Tribolium castaneum: one gene and its partner. The protein of the gene in region 2 interacts with the protein of the main gene of each other region in a pairwise test. Links are inferred from orthologs where the notes say so. Each region holds a gene or a part of one and is shown on either strand. Other genes may lie near its edges.

The links.
Region 1: the proteins of stan (region 2) and fz interact in binary tests that used the Drosophila melanogaster proteins (3 or more experiments, as listed by UniProt). The link is inferred for Tribolium castaneum from reciprocal best matches to the Drosophila melanogaster genes stan and fz.

What each region holds. Positions count from the first base shown.
Region 1 is NC_087398.1:10,365,106-10,371,601, forward strand, and holds fz (frizzled precursor), read right to left. Parts: upstream 4,576-6,496; coding exon 3,441-4,575; intron 1,408-3,440; coding exon 893-1,407; 3' UTR 209-892; downstream 1-208. Other genes in the region: meigo (solute carrier family 35 member B1 homolog), read left to right, coding at 1-70. UniProt on the Drosophila melanogaster protein: Receptor for Wnt proteins.
Region 2 is NC_087395.1:21,415,776-21,422,468, reverse strand, and holds the start of stan (protocadherin-like wing polarity protein stan), read right to left. Parts: upstream 3,872-6,693; 5' UTR 3,616-3,871; intron 1-3,615. Other genes in the region: uncharacterized protein LOC656540, read right to left, coding at 5,175-5,304, 5,356-5,485, 5,533-5,758, 5,811-5,941, 5,992-6,134, 6,182-6,326, 6,375-6,693. UniProt on the Drosophila melanogaster protein: Involved in the fz signaling pathway that controls wing tissue polarity. Also mediates homophilic cell adhesion. May play a role in initiating prehair morphogenesis. May play a critical role in tissue polarity and in formation of normal dendrite fields.

The sequences.
Region 1 (6,496 bases), on a different chromosome or scaffold from region 2:
TGTTTTCACTGGACTCTTCCTTGATACGTTCTTCTCTAAGAAAGCCACCAAAAAATCTCCCAGCAATTAATCTATTTGTTGTTAATTCTACATAAATTTTATTATTTTATTTATGATAAAAACTTATCAGTGATTGCTGTTTGATTGTATGAACCTGCATTGATTGATTATGACAGAGTGGTGGGAAATGGGTGTTGGAAATATCTGATAATTGGCAAACATTGATGTATTTCTCTTATTAATATACAAGAACATAACTTAAATTACATAGTGAGTAAAAAATTAATACCAATTTGTTACAACATACAACAGAACTAAGATTCTAGTCTAATAGTCAACAAGCTCAAAAAGTAACTTGCCATAAATATTTTTGTTTAATTGACAGCATCACAACAGTTTTAAAAGGACTTTGAGCTTTTAATGGGGAAAGTGTGAACACAGTTATATAAAATACATAAAAAATTAAATTACTTAATATAAAAATTATAAATACCAGTACGTTTTCTAGCAGCATTCGTAAAAATCTCATAAAATACTTTTTTCTAAAAAAACCGAATTGTGTTATAAACTTTCAGTCAAATTTTCATGTTACGATTGTAAAAACTATATACAAAAATGTACAAAAATATATTACATTTAGGGATCTTACGTACATTTAATAGTGATGTGCGCTTAAGCAGATTGGAAGCATCGCGAACTGATTTGTCCATTTATTCGTATTGCTAGAGAGCAGTCTTGAAAAAAATTGAATTTCCGTTTCATGCAGATACAACATTAAGACACGGCCGTAAAAAATTTGGACGCTAAAAATGGAGGTAGTTAAGTCCGTCTGTCTGAGCAACTGAACTTATAGGCGGTATTAAATTGTGCATTAGGCTCGTTAAGTTTTGAATTAAACGTAAGCCGCATGTCTGCCTCTGAGTCGGTTAAGAAACACTTTCCAACTGTGCACCGTTTTGCCCGACCAAATCCACACACTTGACGTTATTCCCACAATCATATACATGAGATATTTGATCATAAAAATGGGAAAGAGCGGATGTGAATATTCCCTAATGTCTTGCGGACAAGGCACGGCATAGGTCTGTTTGACGCACATGTCGTGATTCCAAGTCAACATCCAATTATCGAAATTAAACTGTTCGTAAAACAGGCAAGCAATGACCATCATTGCAGGTACTGTGTATAAAATAGAAAATACGCCGATACGGATCATTAGCTTTTCTAATTTGTCGGTTTTTGTACCGTCGTGTTTCATTACCGTACGAATACGGAATAGCGAGATTAAGCCGGAAGTTAAAAATACTAACCCGAAGACTAGATAAATGCATAAAGGTATGAGAATGAAGATTCGCAAGGCGTCCACGTTCCAAATTCCAACGTAGCAAACTCCGCTTAGTACGTCACCTGAAACGGTTTAAATACATAGTTAAATGCTATTATAATCAGAGAAAACGGAAACGCGATCAAGCGCGACAAATTTGTCATCATTTACAACGACCAGAAAAGCGGAATTGGATCATTTGTCACATAAAGTGAAAATCGCCTTCTAAATGAAATATTAAATAACAGAAATTCAAACCAACCCAAAATAGCAAAATGTGTTGCAGTATTGAGTAATAGTAATTAAATCCCTTATGAATTAAAATCTTATAAACACTAAAAATAATTAATATAGAATGGCAAAAATGTTCGTTATCAGGTAATGCACGCAAAATAAATGTAAAGTGAGATACATTCCACATTATGAATAAATTAAATTGTACATAGGACACTCATAAGAGATCAATTAAAGGTAGGGTTGGTCATTAGATTTGAGATTACATTGTGTTATAAATTTTATTTTTGGAAAGTTGGTCATTTTACATAAACTTGGTGTATGAAAATTTTGTCATTAACTCATTACCGAAAGCTTTATAAACAAGTTCTGTCTTTGCGAGGTTTTTTCATAATTTCAGAAGACAGTTCCAATCTAAAACCTATTCCTGTTAGACAAACACGAAACATTAATTACAAATGTTACAATTTTGTAACAAATAATTTTAGTTATTCCACAAACTCTTATTCTCATAATAAACTGAAAAATAAATCTTCCCTTGGATAAATTCATCATTTACGTCATTGAAGTTTTTTTTAATAATTTTTAACATCATATCAAAAATAAGTTAATATAGCTTTTTGTTTGCGGTTATAAATAAAACCTGTTTGTATAATACATTCAGACCCAAATTTTACATAATTTACTGAGCAGTAACACTTTTCTTAAAAAAGAATCGGACAAAAGCCTGAGTCAAACGGAGAATATCGTTAAATAAGGGAAAACGACACTATTAAATTTTGAATTAGACAGACATTTAATTTTTTTATTCCCTATCGTTTAGATTATTAATTTATCTGCTTTTTCGACTAGAAATACTTATTTTTGCGTCGGCCATAAAACTTAGAATTAATTAGAAAAAATTACCAAGTGTTCGTGCCATGTCACCTTCAAGCAAGATCAATATTGCAGCCTGATGATGATTTAATTAAAATCGAAACGTCGCAAAATTATAAACAATCAAAAACAATTTCTTCCGTAAAAAATTACAAAACAATAAATTTAAATAAATTTAACAGTCAAAATTGGCAGCAGCTCATTGTCTCTGTGGACCACAAATTAATTGTGTTCGTTTATTGTTTTGTCCCTAAAAATTTCTTTAAAAAATTAGTTATGCTTTCATGTTGAAGATTCATAAAAATTTAGATTTCTGTTTGTTGAACGCATGATTATCGAACTACTGAAGACAGATATCACCACAAATAAAATAAGCTTTTACGTATATTAAAAAAAAAAAAACAATTCACGATTGTGTTGATCTGAGTATTGTCTTGATATAAACTATATTACTACTCAAACATGCCTCTAGTTATACTAATTTTGATTCAATTCATTAAATTGCTGAAAAAAAATTAGGGATATTAGTAATTGAAAAGTAGGAGAAATTATTTGCTGAAAAATTCAAAACCGGTACAACTCTAACCGATAAAATAAAAAGATTTGAAAATTTTCTAGAAAAGACAAGATATTATTTTTCATACCGCTGTAGATTTTCAATACTTAACAATATCTTAAACTTTTTTTGTTCAGCGAACCCAACAGCCAGTGGTACGTATAATTATTGTTTTTGGTAGCATTTCAGAAATAGACTATTCACCCTGTATAAAAAAAATCGAAAAATTTGAGATTCTTTTAGTTTTAATTTTTATTAATTATAATAAATAGTAACACAATTTACTTATTCTTGTGTTTCTTTAAAATGATTCAATTTAACAAAATCCCAAAGACTTGTGACTGATAAATTTATTGCTTTATTTAAAAGTAGTATTTTTTGAATATAAGCAATTGGACGAAACACTTTTCTGATTGTTGGACCGCTTTAGACAAAAACAATTTTCCTTACCATCGACTTTTCCCATCGCCAAAATCGTGATGGTCTTAACGGCCGGAATCGCCCATGCCGCCAGATGAAAATACTGTGAGTTGGCTTCAATCGCCTCATGCCCCCATTTCAACCCAGCGGCCAAAAACCACGTCAGAGTCAAAATCACCCACCAAATACTCGAGGCCATACTGAAGAAATATAAGACCATGAATAAAATCGTGCACAATTCGTATTTGGTCCCTTGTGTGATAATGCTCACTTTCCTGATGCCTTCATCCGAAATCGGCGGTTCCTTACACGCTATGGAATCGCCGGCGATAAAACCGACAACGTACGCCAAAGCGACCATCAAATAACAAACCGATAAAAATATAATGGGGCGTTCGGGGTACCTAAACCTATTGGTGTCAATCAAGAAGGTGCACACAGTGAACAGACAACTGGCCGAGCACAAAACAGCCCAAGTCCCAATCCAGACCCGGGAGAATTTCTGCTTATTTTCGTTGAAGAACATCATGTGGCACGGGGCCCCACAGTTCTTCACCACTTTGTCCCCCACTTTAAGGGAGTAGTCCATGTTCTTCACCTCGAACTGCAGGGGGCACACGAACCCGAAATCCCGCGGATACTTCGCCCGTACCCCCTTGAAATCGAACTTGCTCTTGGGGTAGTCGGGGGGCTCGTTTGCCGGTGTGGGGGTCACACTGATGTTGTGTTTCTCCACGCAGAGATTCGAGTTTTCGGGGTACTGGTTGCAGTCGAGGTTTTCGGGCCAGTTGTAGCCGAATTTCCGCATGATCCCCTCGCAGCCCGACTTGGCCGAGAGGCACAGGGAGCGGCATGGGGGCACCGGCTTCTCCAAGATCGTGCACACGGGCACGAACACGGAGCAGAGGAACAGGTGCAAGTCGGCGCTGCAGTTGATTTTGATCAGGGGGAAGTACTGGTGCACCTCGTAGCCGGCGTCCTCCTGGGTGTTGTGGCCCACCAGGTTGGGGAAAATGGTGCTGTTGTAGGGGACGTCGATGCAGAAAGGCACAGTGATGGGCTTGCACTTGTCATGGGGTGGAATTATTGCGTCTTCGATGTGGGAGATTTCGTGCTGCAGGCCGTTTATGATCGACGAAAGCGCCAGCAGGAGCAGCGGCTTCATCTTCGTTGGGGGGCAAACGATCGAGGGTCAAAGAAAACACATTATTTGCGGGGAAATACTTGAAATTGCACGTTCGGGGAGGAAAACTATTTTTAATAACATCACAATGGACTTGACACCCTACCGAGTACTCGAGACTAGTTTGGTGGCCATTTTCTGATGTTTGCACTAGACAGCGCTACCAACGTTATTACCATTGTATTACCAGTTGTTGCACAGTTTTTTACAGAAATAAAAATGCTGAACTAGATTTTTGATGGTTTTTAAGAAGGCACAATTGTATTAAATACACACAAAAGTATTTGATATAATAAATAACGTTTATTGCAAAAAATATCTACAAAAAATGGTTATGCAACAAACTGTACAAGTTTGTATTTGTCGTAGCCTATAACTCCAAAAACCTGCTGAAAACTGAAAAATTGCTGAAAAGAAAAAAATAAACATTATATTTTTATTATCACAGTTACAGTGATATAAATTAGTGGGTTTAGCAGCTTCTGGCAAATTAAAAACGGATTAGGTACCTATTCTCCATTTTTAGATATTTTAATGAAAAAGAAAGAAAGATAAAATACAATATTGCTACATAGGGTCATATTGAACGTAGGGCCTGACATTCCTTTGAGTAAAGACTCAACATAATTTTTTAATTTTATGTTTATGTCTTCCAATTTCATTAAGGATTTTAACAGATAATTTAACTATCAGTTAGTCAAAAATGAATTTTGAAATTAAACATACAGTGTTGGGCAAAAGTATAAAATCAAGCGTTTTCCCCATAAACTATGTACCTTACAAAAAATCTAATTAGTATTACATTAATTACTTTAAAAATGTGATCATTTTTCAAGAATAAATTTTCCCATTTTTTATAAGTTTTCCAGTTATTATTATAATAAAAAATTTCAAATGATACCTTACTATTGCAATTTGTTTAGTAATAAAATATGCTCTAAAAATAACTTCTAATTTAATAATACTGTTTTTTTATGCAGTAATTTTGATTTGTCAAAGTTCAAAAAATCTTTGTAATGAGTTTGAAACGCAACTTTTAAAATTTGTTTAATAAGACACTGATTTAAAAACAAAATGATTTAATTAGAAATCATTCTTAAAGCATAATATTTTACCAAAAAAATTATCGTAGAAAATCATCATAAAAAAATTACACTAGAAAGCAAAAAAACAATTCTTAAAAAATGATCACATTTTTAAAGTAGCGAATAAATGATGTACTAATTAGTTTTTTCGTAAGGTACAAAATTTTTGCACAAACCGCTTGGTTCCACACTTTTGCCCAATGCCGTATATTTACTAATTGAAAAAAAATGCTCACTGGCGCCGTAATAAAATATTTTTCAAACTAACTATTAGTCTTTAAAAAATATAATAACAAGATAAGTAAGATGAAAACAATAGATTAACAATAGATTAACAAAACAATTATTATCAATAATAATAATAGTTATAAAATACATATTAGAAAAAAAATGCACACTTATGTACAAAATTTTATTATCTAAATCAGTGATTAAATTATCTCCAATATCTTAACGAAGAGTCTGACTATGTCGCTGACAGTTTTCCACCAGTTATGATGGTAATTTAGAATAAACCTCTAAGCTTCAATTGAGCAAAATCCGAAAAAAATATAAACCTATTTATTTAAAACATCCAAAAATCTAAAATTTTGAGAAGAAAAACAAAAAGTTTTATAGTTTTGATATTTTAATTATAATTACCATTGCCGCCCTAGTCTACTATAACATTAAAAAAAATTTGGTTGATTCAGAAAATAACGAAAAATTTACAAACTTTAAAAAATAATAATTTTTATTGACAGAGGAACATTTGTCGTACTTTAGATAGTTATAGTAATTAACTCGTTTGTAATACAAGTTACCGTTCCAAATTTTAA
Region 2 (6,693 bases):
CGTCCATACAATTTATTTCAAGTAATTTGCAGGAACCTCAAATTTAGCTTTCAAAATTTGTTTTTTTTTGCTTTTCTTTCTGCAAATTTATCTATACTTAATTTGTTCGTCATTTAATAGGATTGCCAAATCAAAAGGCCTATAAAATAAGATGAGTAAAATGAGTAAAATACCTACACTTTCAGCAAAGATTGAATTGCACAATAACGTTCATACAATTTATTTCAAGTAATTTGCAAGATCCTCAAATTTAGCTTTCAAAATTTGTTTTTTTTTGCTTTTCTTTCTGCAAATTTATCTATACTTAATTTGTTCGTCATTTAATAGGATTGCCAAATCAAAAGGCCTATAAAATAAGATGAGTAAAATACCTAGAATTTCAGCAAAGATTGAATAGCACAATAACGTTCATACAATTTATTTCAAATAATTTGCAAGATCCTCAAATTTAGCTTTCAAAATTTGTTTTTTTTGCTTTTCTTTCTGCAAATTTATCTATACTTAATTTGTTCGTCATTTAATAAGATTGACAAACCAAAAGGCCTATAAAATAAGATGAGTAAAATACCTACACTTTCAGCAAAGATTGAATTGCACAATAACGTCCATACAATTTATTTCAAGTAATTTGCAGGAACCTCAAATTTAGCTTTCAAAATTTGTTTTTTTTTTGCTTTTCTTTCTGCTAATTTATCTATACTTAATTTGTTCGTCATTTAATAAGATTCCAAACTAGAAGGCATATAAAATATGATGAGTAAAATGAGTAAAATACCTACACTTTCAGCAAAGATTGAATTGCACAATAACGTTCATACAATTTATTTCAAGTAATTTGCAAGATCCTCAAATTTAGCTTTCAAAATTTGTTTTTTTTTTGCTTTTCTTTCTGCAAATTTATCTATACTTAATTTGTTCGTCATTTAATAAGATTCCAAACCAAAAGGCCTATAAAATAAAATGAAAACATCTTTCTAGAGTAAATACATTCAATTTCAGCAAAAATTAAATTGCACAATAACGTTCATACAATTTATTTTAAGTTAGTTCTTAAGAAAATAACTAACAAAATTGTAATTATCAGAAAAAATACATACTTCTATTTAATACAAGATGAGTTTATTTTACTATATCTCCAAAAATATTGCCATAAAATCTCTACTATTCTCCCGAGTAGTCTCCTTTAATTGTAACAAATTTTGTTATCACCAGTTTTTGTTAGGTAATGGTTTTTAAAATTATTCCCAATTCGTTTAATAAGTAAATTATATATTTATCGTCATGTTCTGCACACTATTGACATTCGTAAAGATTTACAGAAACGTGTACTATAAATAAACTGAAAATATTTTTTTCAAAAATTGCACATCAACTAGGGTAAGTAAATGTGTATTGATATAATATTTGTCAAATAATTCCAAAAACAATACTTTCTTTTCATTATAAACTTGAAGAAAATTGGTAAATGACGAGTAAAAAATATTTCCTAAAAATTACTTTTTTTTACTTTTTGATGTTTAATCAGCAAATAGAACAAAAATAAATCTAATAGTTTCATCAAAAACTTCAAAAACGAGTTGTAAATAATAATTATTTATTTACCGAGTTTGAGTGTAAATTGGACACTTAATATCACGAGTGGATTATTAAGTCACGAGTGAAAACGACTGGTTTATCGTTCACGAGGTGAAATAACTTAGCCGATTTACACGAAAACGAGTTGAATACAACATTTTTAGACTCAACAAGGCTTAAAGTTTGTTAAGAATAATCTGACGTTCCATAATGAAAAATACCAAAACAGTTGTAAAAACTTCCTTACACAGGAGAAAAATCGAAGATTTTGGCAGTGTCGAAGAATAAATTAATTTTTTTATAGTCGGATTTTTTGGTATCTAATAGTTTAAATAAAAAATGAAAAACACTTGACAATGAGTTATGTCATAGGTATTTGGCTGAGTCACTCTGTATATCGCCTTTTGCCATTAGGAAGTAACGTTAGTGGCTCCTGGGACTCTCTGCTCCCCAAAGAAACGTCGGAAACACGCAATTTATCGGCTTAATGTCATTCCAGTTTATAATTTTCTCGTAAATTGCCTCGAGTTTAATTTTGTTCGAAGTATGATGTTCTGTTTTTTCGCCGATGGTCTTTAGGGCACAAAGACGTTTCGAAACGTGTTTAAGTTTTTGTTTACCACCTGCTACCAACAATTACAAGGCAACCAGCTGGAGTTGGTTTCCAACTGTTCTATCAAAAGGAGATAATGAATTTTACTACAGTTACGAAGTTTGCAGATTTATTGATATTACGGGAGAAATTTATGTTTGATGGAGTTGTTGCAATGCAGAACTAGCTTTTCAAATGGACACTAGACACGATCCTGAAACTCGTGTTGCAATAATTTTTTGCGTTGATTGCACAAAGCTAGTGCGAAAATTAATTAAGCAATTCGATGGATGCCTTCCTCTGCAATTATCTTGATTATAATTGTCCGCAACAATGTTGAAAAAATAAATCAACTACAGATGAAAAATGCGGCTACCGGCTACCGATCACATCAAGTCCCTAATTAAGCCTATTCTAAATTACAGTTACATATTTTACGACGTCCTGAGGCAATTTAATTATTTACTTTTACGTTCAACTGGTTGGTTATTCTGACATTTAAAATTATTGTTAGTGAGAGAGCAATAAATCCGCTCGTATGTATCATGCATCACGTGAAGGTGACTGTAACAAGAGATTTTTCCGAAAAAATGTTCACGAGCGTGTAATTTTTCATTTGCGCGCTCTTTGTCTCTCCATCAATTTGATATTCAAAGCAGGTGATTTCGGTTAACAAACGTTAAGGTTGGGTAAGCAATGAAAGATTCATCACTGTAAAAACACGGCGGATCAATCGTACAAGAAATGAGTTGACCGCAGCGGAAAGTAAGAGTTTTTTAACAAAATATAGTAAATAGTTCTTTGGGGCGGCAAGCACTAAAACTCACCCCGGAATACGACTACAGCAAGTTTTGTAGCCTGATTACAAATCCTTTTTTATGTGAAGGGTCGCGTAAAAACAAAAGCTTTCGACTGAGAAGCTTTTCAAGTAGCACTTTTATTTTTTGTCCAGTATCGACCGTCAAATTTGTATAGAAGGTATGTTACCCCGTGTAACATGTGGGGGATGAATAGGGTTTCGCTCGGATTAAGTGGTGACTCACTTTGTTTTAGGCGCACTGTCTTGAATATAATATAATCAGAAGCGCCTAATCAGGGACGAGTTCATTAAAACTCAATTTTATTGAACGTATTTACTTTCATTCGCGCTTTTTGCAACTGAGTTCTGCTCTATAAAATGTAATTAACAACCTTGGGATTGCTTAATTAAAAGTGATAATAAATCGCGATTTTCGCGTATGAGATAATTCAGGAGGCAGAGCTTCTCGTTTTTGCATATCTGCATATCTAATTTTCGAGTTTCCTTTTTTTTCATTGTTATTATTATTACCCGCAGAGTTACCGCTTTTTTTCATCAAAAACGACTATAACATTGTTATACTTATATTAAAAATATAAAATCGCAGTTATAAATATTAATAAAAAAATTTGAAATTTAAAATTCTCACCTGGATTTTTTTAACACAGACTGTACTTTAACATAAGTGCATTGACACAGGTATTTAAAGACCGATTTTTGAATAAAACTGGCACTAAAAAAATCACAGTAGTTCTGGTCACTAATATTTTTCACTTTAGTGGTGTTTTTTGAATTTTTTCTAATTAAATAAATGGTTTGTTTGGCAGTTTCGGGTTAAAAACACAAGTTTACTGGTAGTCAAGCAGCCATTTTGAAGCTTTCGCATCTCTCTTTTCTGTCTTGCCGGTTGCCTACCGACTGTTATGCAACATAGGTTTCTGTGATAGGTTGCACAGCTTATGTAAGAGGGAGCCACGACACAAGTGTATTAGTTTTCATGCATGTATTTATTATTTTTATTAATTTATTTTGGTAAAAAAATTATATTGATACGCTGATAAATTATTTGATACGAAGATGATATAAAAATTGGTTACTACGCGACGAGCGCCGCCACCTAGATTTTGTAAGGACATATTGACCTACCCTCGTATTTTCGACATATTTCAAACAACTCGACTAATTTTTCATTGAGAAGTGGCTTTTATTTGAAAAAATGGGGTCATTTCGTGCATAAATATTCTTTAAATTATTTAAACTTGTTTTGTATAAGTTCTTAACTGTTTACATTATATTGCATAAATAAAATAATCGTTATTTTTTTTAAATAAAAAGCGATTAAAACCTTAACTCTTTTTTTAAGGATACCTTTCTTCAATACATAGATGCAGAAAATTACAAAAATAGGTTCCAAATCTAATTTTTACTTATTTTGTTCAGTTTAATTTATTTTCTAATGAAAAAAATTAATATAAAAAATATTTCTCCATATTGTTTCCAAAATAATAATCCTATTTTTTTATTTACTTCAAAAAAGACAAAAAATCGTAACTACATATAAAATAGTATACAGGGTGAGTCTGCTGAAAGTATGGTTTTACTGTATTTCCTAAATGTTTTTAATTTATTTTTTCATGGACCTGTGGAATTCCGAATTTACTGATAATTAGTGGTTTAGAAATATATTGCTGTAAATTTTATGGATTATTTATTTTATTAAAAAGAGAAAGACCGCTTTGTTTTTTCTCATTTTACACTGGTTTTAAGTATTTTTTTTGGTTTAAATTTTATATTATTACAGTAGGCATTTAAGTGAGAACACAAAGAACTAAATAAACTGTTTTATAATTTTTAGAAAGAAAAAAATAGGTGCTTTATTATTAAATTGTAATAAGACCGTAATTTTGAAAGAAAAAATTATTAGGAGTAAAAGCGTCATTTTTGCGATAGATCGATAAGTTTTGAGTCGTGGTTTTGACGTCAATTTTGCTTTTTTTTTTGAAAGAATAATATCTTCAAAAAGTCAAGTCAGGTCAAGTCAAGTCAGATCGTCTGTTGTCATTATTAAGACAGGAAAACGTGAGCTGTTCCAATGTGGTTCCAATAAAACACTTGTAAAAGCTAAAGTTCGTCTATTTTATTTATCCAAGAATAAATTTAATATAATGTATGGAAGTGCCATTATCCGGCGGTGGAAACAATCTCGTTTTAACCACTTTTATCACAAGGACTCAGCAACACCTCGAAGAAATCTTCGACTAATTGATTGACGGTGACATCGCGAATGCACCTCTTTTGTAATTGTCCAGTAACACAACTTTTGGTTTTTGTTATTCTCCTGAAATTAACTAATTATCACAAGGTAATAATTGGCAAATTGGGGACTTACGTGCAAACTGCGTCTTTTTCCAAACTGGTGGATTCAAACGAATGGAAACATTTGCTCATTTCGGACTTCGCTTTATGTTGCTTGAAATTTTGGAAGCAGTTAACAAGCTCGGACCTAGACGACACCCTTACTGGAAAAAAATGTTTGAAAAAATTGTTTTTGTTAGTGGGAACTTACGAATTGTGTTTTGGTTGTTGTACAAAAACTCGATAAAGTTTATAAAGATTTTCTGGTAAAATTCGGGGAAATATTTTTCTTTTTCCGGCAAACAAACTTTGGCCTTTTCGGCAAAATCGTCGGTGCATTTTTTAAATTCCTCCTGGAACTTCTCCAAAGGTGTGGCAAAAATGGGATACTCGGTGGTCTGATCGTAGATGCATTTTTTGGCAATTTTGAAACTTTCCTAAAATAATTGAAATAGAACACGAACTTAAAAATTCCAAGTTTGTAGCTACTTGGACAGATTTAAAGCCGTTTTCGGGGGCATTTTTGCACTTTTCCCTAAATGTGGACTCGAATATGCTGTTCAGTTCCGAGGAATTAAAATAATGGTTGACCGTTGCGACGTGTCTTTTCAAAATGCGGTCTGAAACAACAAACTTGAAACTTTCCGCGATGTTCCAGTTCCGAACTTACGGATCATCGCGCTCCGTTTGTTTTTATTAGAACACGCCGAACGCTTGACGAACTTAAAAAGTGCATCAACGATATTAGCAGGGGTGCTGTCTTTGCACTTTTCCAATTCTTCGACAACACATCGCTGAAGTTTACCCAAATCGCTGCAATTTTATTAATACGTAAAAATACCCACAAATTCGTGACTCACTCGCATTTCTTCTTATCGATCAATATGTTGGGAATTGCGTTGGGGTTGACGCTTTGCGGGGAGATTTTGAACGTGGAGTTGACACAATTTTGAATTCCCTGAGTGCGGCTTTTGATGCATTCGACCCCGCCCTCGGCCACGAACACTAAAATTGTGACTTAATTTCGGAAATTTAAACTGTGTCTTGTATTACTAGCAATCCTGTCCCCATCCTTAAAACAGGCGAATTCGCCCAATTCCTTCACGATATTTAGAGTGATATTCAGTGCATTTTGCTCTTCCGCATTGAGGCAGAGGCGAAGGTTGTTGATGAAGCTCTGCACACATGTGGCCAACTGCGACCGCTTTTTGCAGTATTTTCCGAAAACTTCGTCCATGGAGCCGGTCTTTTTTGACTCCATGACCTCAGCCTCCAACGTACTTAGGGACACGAATTCGGACATGCAAGTCGAAAGCGAGTTTGCAGTTGTCTTGAACTTGATATAAGTCCCGTTTCCTCCTTCTTTATCGCA